2 linked regions of the Ovis aries genome follow. Each later gene encodes a partner of the first gene's protein in a complex. Links are inferred from orthologs where the notes say so. Each region holds a gene or a part of one and is shown in the gene's direction. Other genes may lie near its edges. The genes, in order: GATB and GATC.

Region 1 (4,329 bases):
CCCCCCCTGCTCAATATTCAGTTAGGCATCAATGATGCTTACTCGATTTCTCCTCTTATACGTCTCCAAGGCAACCAAAGTCGTATTTTCTGACAAGTCTGTTCTTTCCTGATTTCCTTATCTCAGTGAGTAACTCCATCAGCCATCCAGTTGTATAAAGCCAGAAATTCAGAAGTTACTTGACCCTCCCCTAGGCTTCCGCCATTATATCTAATCCAATACCAAGTCCTCCAATCTTACCTTCCTAATCTATCTCACAGAGGTCAATTTCTCTCTGCCTCCACCACCACACTATTCCATCATCTCCTTCCCACACAGCTACTCTGAAGGGCATGTACTCCATTCTTTTGTCAAATGCATTCTTCACACAGCAATCCTTCAATCAACAAGCATTTCTGAGAGACCTACTTTGTACTTTGGTAATACTGTATTGAATAAGGCAGACCGATTTCCCATTCTCAAGGAGCTTGTGGAGATGGAAGACAAACATCAGATAGTCACGAGCACTATGTGGAGTATTAGTATAGGGCGATCTAATAGAGAATGGTGGAATAGCTGTTCTAAACTGTATGCTCAAATACAAGAAATCAGTGGGCGTTTCAAGAAGGGGATGCATTTTGAAGCAGGGGGAAAAAAAAAAAAGAAGCCCACTGGGATGATGGTATTTGCTATCAAGGCTTCCGTTGTTACATAGTATTTTCAAACACTGGCCAAGATCAAAAAGAAAAATTTAAAATCTTCCTGAGGTTTCAGTCTAGGTCTGTCTATCTCCCAAGAACCTGTGCTGAAATATGGTCCTTATGGTCTATCTGAAAGCATCCTATTTTTGTTAACTTCTCTGTATGTCTAGTCTACCAAGAATGTAAGTTTCGTGAACATGGTGGCTATATCTGCCTTGATCACTGCTGAATCCCCCGTGTCTAAGAACCATGCCGAGCATATTGGCATGCAAATAATTATTTCTTGCAGTTATGCTTACATTTGGGTCTGAAGTGGAAAAGGAAGCAGAAAAAAGAACTGAGTTGGGCGGTTCAGAGAGTCTTTATGGAGATGTCAAGGTCATTTACTTCAGCCCGACAGGTTAACTGGTATATAAAATCCCAGCCAGGTTTCTCAGCTTTCGATCTCTGGCACCGCCTGCTCTCTCTCTCACGTGCTTACAGCTACAAACCTCTCCAACTCCCCGCTAGGAGGAGTCACACCTTCCCACCCAAAAACCCTCCCACTCTCCCGGCTCCTTCTGCTTCCCGCCCCCTCCCCGCCCAGTTCCGGAAGCCTTCCGGTCGCAGTGCTCTCTGGTAATAGTAGTCTTCCGGTCCGAGTCTAGCGCGGTTTATCTAATTTCTGAGAACTACGTTTCCCAGAGAGCCTTGCAGCAGAGGGAGGCTGTGTCACCTGACCAGGACTCTGGAGAGACAATGGCGGCGCCCATGTTGCGGTGGTGCTGTCCTGGAAGGCGGTTTGCTTTCGCCCGGGTTGGCTGCGGTTCTTGCCACAGAAGAGGGCCTCCGACTGGGTCCACGTCCAACGGGAAAAGGGGGCAGAGCACAGTGGCTCAGCAGCCCCACATCACAGCCCAGAAGCCGAGAAAAGGGTATACTATTTCATACCAGTATTGCCCACTTAAAGTTGAGGTAGAACTGTGGGACTTGGGAGATGGCCACTACAGACTTCCCTGGTGGCTCAGACGGTAAAGCCTCTGCCTACAATGCGGGAGACTCGGGTTTGATCCCTGGATCGGGAAGATTCCCTGGAGAAGGAAATCGCAACCCACTCCAGTATTCTTGCCTGGAGAATCCCATGGCTAGAGGAGCTCGGTGGTCTGCAGTTAATGGGGTCGCAAAGAGTCGGACACCACTGAGCGACTTCACTTTAAAGCCCAGCCTTAAGTCTGGACGTTTTGGTGGGCGGGAACGTGTTGGGCTGTATGTTGCAGCCCTGAAATCTAAATAAAGACAGGAAACTGGCTGTCTTATCAGTCCCTACCCCACACATAAACCAGTGTCTTCAGATAGCCTTATTTGGGTAATTTGAGAGTGTAAAATAGCAAGTTTTTTTTTTTTTTTTTTAATGTTTCACAGAAGAGTGGTTCAGTCACCTTAACTAGTAGTCAGCCCAGTATCAGTAGAAGTGGGATCTTATTTAGCTGACATGTATTTAGCACACTACGGGCCAGCAGTGTTTTAGTGGTATAAAGGAGCCTTTACCTACAAGTTCTGGATGGCTGGCCTTGAGTTAGAAAACCCACCTATCTGTGGAGGCCTTTCATGTTGAACGTGTGGGGTGTGTGTGTAGACCTAGGAAGATGCAGCCAGTATGAGATCTTCCTTCTGGTTCTGTAGAGACTGTTGCTTATTTTGCTCAATATTGTCTGAACAGCTGCTTATATTTCACTGTATAAGACCTAAATGATATCTTTTCAAGTGCAGAAATATAAGGCATGTGTCAAATATTCATTTTTTCCTTTGAGATAGTTAGGTTGCTGTTATTTTTGCTTTTCTGTTTTTACAGAGGGGAAAATGTCCAGAAGTACTGGTTCTGTTCTTTTCATTAAATTAGGTTGTTTCACTATGAAAAGTGAATGAAAAGTTTTTTTCTCTTATGTAATGAAACTGCAAAAAAACATTGAATTGGGTTTTAGTGAATGCAGATTTCTGATGACGTCTTAGTTTGATTCCTCTCAATTATAGTTTGTGATTGCAAACTTTAAAAATAAGGAATTCTTCAGTACTATAAATACAGAACTTCATGTGTTGAAATGATCGAAACAAAACCAAATGCATGTAAATAAAAATTTTGATAATACAGAAAATTGCTTGAGGGAAGAGCAGGATAGGAACAGACAGAATATGGAGAGCGTATGTGTACACCAGGCCATCTGCAGATTGCCCAGGATACATGGGTTTGATAATAACCCATAGAATAAGCACACTTAGATGAACCTAGGGAGACCTGTGTATGGAATGTTCATACAGACCCAGCAGAGTAGGAGTGACCAGACAAGAGATTATTGTAGCATGTGAACTGCACTATTGCAGCTTCTTGGGTGTGGTAGCAATTAAGTTTAAAACATGCAAAGGAACCTGACACTAAGTGTCTGGAATTTAAAGTCATTTGGGGAACCGGGGGGCTGGGGCGGGGGAGCCACTTGTGATGATTTAATGTTTTCCTTTGTGCAGAATTCCAAAGATTATCATTTAGTAGTAATCCATTTTATCTGTATCACTATGGTTACTTTACTTGCAAACCGTTGTTAGAAAATGAATTCAAAACATGACTGAGAATTTCCCTTCCTTTTTAAATAATGAGATGTACAACTATTTATTTACCATTATTTCTCTAGTAGTGAAATCTTATTTCTGTTAGTTCTAAAAATGTTCACAAAATCAGCTTTCCTGAGTGATTAACTGGCAAAGGACAGTTAATTTAGAAAATGGTGCTTCTCATTAAAGTCAGCCAAGCAGTCTCCACCTGATAACCATTTCTAAATTGTTTTCAGATCCCATATTGTTCCTGTTACCTTGTTTGCACAGGGAACTCTTCTTATGCCATGTTATAAATGAATATTGCTTTACCAGTCTTCTTGGTGTTCATTTTGCATTTCTTTTAATTTAGTTACCCAATACAATGTAACACATTTTTTAAAGTAGAATATACAATTTTAATAAGTTAAAAGCGCAAGTGGGAAGTATTAGTAACATTTGCAGTTTAAGCTCATAGAAATTCACTCATGGTAATAGATCTAACCTAATGACTTCTTGGCCATTATGTTCTCTTTAGTGAACGTGAATGGGCAGCTGTAGTAGGATTGGAAATTCATGCCCAGATTGCCTCCAACTCCAAACTCTTTTCTGGATCTCAAGTCCACTTTGCAGCTCCTCCCAATTCTTTGGTATCTTTTTTTGATGCATCTCTACCTGGAACTTTGCCGGTAAGGTTTTTATTTAATGCTGTTTTCATTTGCAAAATGTTCATCCTTCACTGAACATAACTCTTAGGAAATACTTGTTTAGGAAACTTTGACTGGAGTGGGATGGCCTCAATGTTTTCTAAAGACTCATCTCTGAATTCTAAGTGTAAATGTCATCCGTTTGTTCATACATACATCTCACTCACAGACATCTCACTCACAGTTTAGAATGTCTGCTGAATACTAGAATGTCTGTGCTATGAACTGAAATAGAAGGACGAGCAACTGTCTTTGTCTTTGAGAAGTTCAAAGGCGAGTTGGGGAGATGTGTCCTGTGTGAGTACTGTGTGATTATTCCTGTGAAGGTCATAAGCACAGTTTAGTTTTGGATCCCCGAGGAGGGATACCTAATTCAGTAT
Region 2 (4,382 bases), about 57 Mb from region 1:
GCTTTTCTTTGCCATGGCCCATGAACTCCAGTCCTTCAATAGGAATCTCCTTCTCCTTTATCGCTTTCTGATGGAAGAAAACATGATAAAGGGACTACATGAAGCCTGAAGTCAAAACTTTAGAAATACTTTGTAGAATATTTTGTACTTTAGGTACAAAAGTAAATCCAACTGTACCATAAGGACTACCAAACATGACAAACCCGAAGTATGATTATGAAGAAATTAAGTGTAAGACCAGAGAGAGAAGTTGGAGAGTTGTAACAAAATTCAGAAGTGCAATTTAAGCAGTATCACCACTCTGTTGTGATACTTGTTTAGTCACTAAATAGTGTCTGACTTTCGTGACCCTGTGTGACCCCTGCCAGGCTCCTCTGTCCACATGATTTCCCAGGCAAGAGTACTGGAGTGGGTTGCCATTTCCTTCTCCAGGGGATCTTCCAAACCCAGGAATCAAACCAGCATCTCCTGCATTGCAGGTGAATTCTTTACCACTGAGCCACCTGGGAAACTCCTATTGTGACAGACACAAGTTCAAATCGGTCCCAGGACTTACTGGCTACGTAACTTTGAGCAAGTCTCTCTTTCCAATGTCTACGGGACAAAGACAAGTCCACCTGGACTTACTGAGGATGTTTTTTAAGTTAACTAATTGGGACTGCCTTGCCCAGGGCTGTTCTTACAATCAGATCTGTTTCACATTCACTGTGCTGGAATAAACATGTTCTAACTGGCCAAGAGAGAAAACATAGGCCAGTGAAGGCATTGTGACAACATAAGAGGACCCTCCATGAGGTCTAACAGGCCAGAGACTTAACACCCCGTCTGTCAGTGGAAAAGTGCACCACAGCAAAATCCAAGGACACTTGATTCTAGTGAACTTCGACTACTCGTTTAACTATTTCTGGGCGTGAGTGTTCCACGTATAAAATACAAATAACTGGGCTCACTTTGCAAGTTCAGGTTCATCACCAAAGGAACCAAAGAATGTAATTGGGCTCCGCAGAAAGTAAGGTGCTGCAAAAAGACTTACCTTTGACATTCGGAAAGATACCACGCATCCCGGGTGGTGAATGGTAAGGGAGAGAACTGCCACTGGTCTCATCGAGGCTTTTCTTCCACCCTGCCCGTCCCAACCCCCTCGAGCCGGGGCCTAGGGCAGAGGCGAGAGGGCCCGGGTAGGAGCTCACCTGAACACACTGCTGGTAGCGCTTGAAGAGGTCGGTGCATGGGTCCCCGGAGCCATCCCCCTTGAGGAACTTCTCGGCAAACCAGCGATTGAAGCACTGGTCGTACTCGCGCTTCATGTCTGTGCAAGCCTCCCCTACGCTGTTCATGGCGTCGGCGTCCGCGGCGGTGGCGGCGCTCTCGGATGTCATCACTTTTAAGCGCGTCGCGCGCTTAGGAGAGGATGCGCTACGGCGGCCGACAGGGAGCGAAATGTGGGCGCGGGCCGTGCACCTATGTCTTCGGGCTGCGGCGCGCGGGCGCCGGGGCTTCACCTCCAAGGCGGATCCTCAGGTAGAGGTCGGGGAGTCCAGGCGGGTGTTGGAGCGGGGCGGAAGGCGGAGCAGGCCCCACCCGTAACCCACACCCTCCGCCTCATTCGCCCCCCCACCCCGCCCCCAGGGAAGTGGCCGGGTCACGGGCGAGCTGATCCAACACCTGGAGCGGCTATCGCTGGTGGACTTCGGCAGCCAGGAGGCCGTGGCCCGGCTGGAGAAAGCCATCGCCTTCGCCGATCGGCTCCGCGCGGTGAACACCGACGGAGTGGAGCCCATGGAATCAGTCCTGGAGGACAGGTAAGCTCGCGGCCGCGCGGCCCTCAAAGGATGGCCCGCGGCGTCTTCGCTATCAGTAAGGGCTGGAGCTTAGTCTCTCATTCCACCGAGGGGAAAAGAACATTAGCGACACGCGAGAACTTGCGCACGGTCACCCTGCGAGTAAACGCTTTCGCTCTTTGCGTCGTTCGTTAAGGATCCTCTCCCTCCCCTTTAAAATCCTCTAGCCCTCCCTGTGTAACAAGGAACAAAATCCAAACGTCTAAGCTTTCACCTTCTAAGCCCAACTTTCTAGAGCGCCCCCTACCTCATCACTCAGACGACTTGACTTCCTGCCTATTTCTGCTACACGCCAGATTCGTGGCTTCTCTAGGTCTTTGCCCTTGCTTTTCTTTTTGTTGGACAGTTCATCTCTTTGGCCTCTCCTTTGTTGGCAAAGTAATGTCTCTGCTTTGAATTTGCTGTCTAGGTTGGCCATAACTTTTCTTCCAAGGAGTAAGCGTCTTTTAATTTTATGGCTGCAGTCACCATCTGCAGTGATTTTGGAGCCCCCAAAAATGAAGTCTGACATTGTTTCCACTGTTTCCCCATCTATTTCCCATGAACTGGATGGGACCAGATGTCATGATCTTATGTTGAGCTTTAAGCCAACTTTTTCACTCTCCTCTTTCACTTTTATCAAGAGGCTTTTAGTTCCTCTTCACTTTCTGCCATAAGGGTGGTGTCATCTGCATATCTGAGGTTATTGGTATTTCTTCTGGCAATCTTGATTCCAGCTTGTGCTTCTTCCAGCCCAGCGTTTCTCATGATGTACTCTGCATAGAAGTTAAATAAGCAAGGTGACAATATAGAGCCTTGATGTACTCCTTTTCCTGTTTGGAACCAGTCTGTTGTTCCATGTCCAGTTCTAACTGTTGCTTCCTGACCTGCATATAGGTTTCTCGAGAGGCAGGTCAGGTGGTCTGTATTCCCATCTCTTTCAGAATTTTCCACAGTTTATTGTGATCCACACAGTCAAAGGCTTTGGCATAGTCAATAAAGCAGAAATAGATGTTTTTCTGAGCAGAGACATTACTTTGCCAACAAAGGTCCATCTCGTCAAGGCTATGGTTTTTCCAGTGGTCATGTATGGATGTGAGAGTTGGACTGTGAAGAAAGCTGAGCGCCGAAGAATTGATGCTTTTGAACTGTGGTGTTGGAGAAGACTCTCGAGAGTCCCTTGGACTGCAAGGAGATCCAGCCAGTCCATTCTGAAGGAGATCAGCCCTGGGATTTCTTTGGAAGGAATGATCCTAAAGCTGAAACTCCAGTACTTTGGCCACCTCATGCGAAGAGTTGACACATTGGAAAAGACTCTGATGCTGGGAGGGATTGGGGGCAGGAGGAGAAGGCGACAACAGAGGATGAGATGGCTGGATGGCATCACTGACTTGATGGACGTGAGTGAGTGAACTCCGGGAGTTGGTGATGGACAGGGAGGCCTGGTGAGCTGCAGTTCATGGGGTCACAAAGAGTCGAACACGACTGAGTGACTGAACTGAACCACTCTAAATTCTCCCTCCACTCCCTCTAGTCACTATCTCCTTATCCTGTCGGGTTTTCTTCCACTGTTTTTCTTGATTATCTTATTTTTGTTGACTTGTACTATTTCTTGTAATTAGAAAGTGAGCTCACATCTGACTTGCTTACTCCTGGATTCCTGTCTCAAAAATTTTTTAGATATACACTTTTTCTGACCTAGGGGTTCCCTGTCTGTGACATATATCTGTGACAGTGCATCAAGATGTGTGCACGAGCATTCAGGGTATGCAAATCTGTTGATAATACAGAACAACAGAAAAGAAACTGGGAGGGATTGGGGGCAGGAGGAGAAGGGGACGACAGAGGATGAGATGGCTGGATGGCATCACTGACTCGATGGATGTGAGTTTGAGTGAACTCCAGGAGTTGGTGATGGACAGGGAGGCCTGGCGTGCTGCACTTCATGGGGTCGCAGAGTCGGACATGACTGAGTGAGTGAACTGAACTGAAGCGTCCTTCATGGCTAAATTAATCTTCATACACTGAAATGACAGTTAAAAATAATGAAATAACTATATATGCTGATATGGAAAGGTTTCCAGGGTATACTTATTAATAATAAAAAAGGCAAAGTTCAGAATATGGTGTGTGGTTTCATTGATGCTTTGTGTGTAATCCATTTTATATACTCTGGTGCATGCATTAAGTTGTTTTGTTCCCTGAAAGGGCATGCAAGAAACTGTTAACCATGGTTAGTGTTAGAGAAGGTGGAAATGCAAAGGGAAATTTACCTTTGACTGCCTAAGGGGGCAGAGTAATAATCCAAGTAGTGAAGTAGTGTAATGCAACCCGGAGGGCTGGGTCTTTGACAAAGCAGCTTGTGTATACTGTACTTAGAGTGTGCAGCCCCTAACCACCTCTACCAGTTATTGCCAAATCTTAATACATTTTTAAAGAAAACACTCTTTTTTGCAAAGCAGACTTGTTTGCCATTTAGGAGTGCAGCTTCTTGGGAAGGATAGGTATGCAACTTACAAAGATAAGGGCAATCTACAACCCTGTCCTAGCCTTTTCCTGATG

The links.
Region 2: GATB (region 1) and GATC share a complex: the UniProt entries of both Homo sapiens proteins name them as parts of the heterotrimeric GatCAB amidotransferase (AdT) complex. The link is inferred for Ovis aries from reciprocal best matches to the Homo sapiens genes GATB and GATC.

What each region holds. Positions count from the first base shown.
Region 1 is NC_056070.1:6,170,156-6,174,484, forward strand, and holds the start of GATB (glutamyl-tRNA(Gln) amidotransferase subunit B, mitochondrial), read left to right. Parts: upstream 1-1,401; 5' UTR 1,402-1,418; coding exon 1,419-1,594; intron 1,595-3,780; coding exon 3,781-3,931; intron 3,932-4,329. UniProt on the Homo sapiens protein: Allows the formation of correctly charged Gln-tRNA(Gln) through the transamidation of misacylated Glu-tRNA(Gln) in the mitochondria. The reaction takes place in the presence of glutamine and ATP through an activated gamma-phospho-Glu-tRNA(Gln).
Region 2 is NC_056070.1:62,883,076-62,887,457, forward strand, and holds the start of GATC (glutamyl-tRNA(Gln) amidotransferase subunit C, mitochondrial), read left to right. Parts: upstream 1-1,403; 5' UTR 1,404-1,440; coding exon 1,441-1,521; intron 1,522-1,629; coding exon 1,630-1,802; intron 1,803-4,382. Other genes in the region: TRIAP1 (TP53-regulated inhibitor of apoptosis 1), read right to left, coding at 1-67, 1,191-1,337. UniProt on the Homo sapiens protein: Allows the formation of correctly charged Gln-tRNA(Gln) through the transamidation of misacylated Glu-tRNA(Gln) in the mitochondria. The reaction takes place in the presence of glutamine and ATP through an activated gamma-phospho-Glu-tRNA(Gln).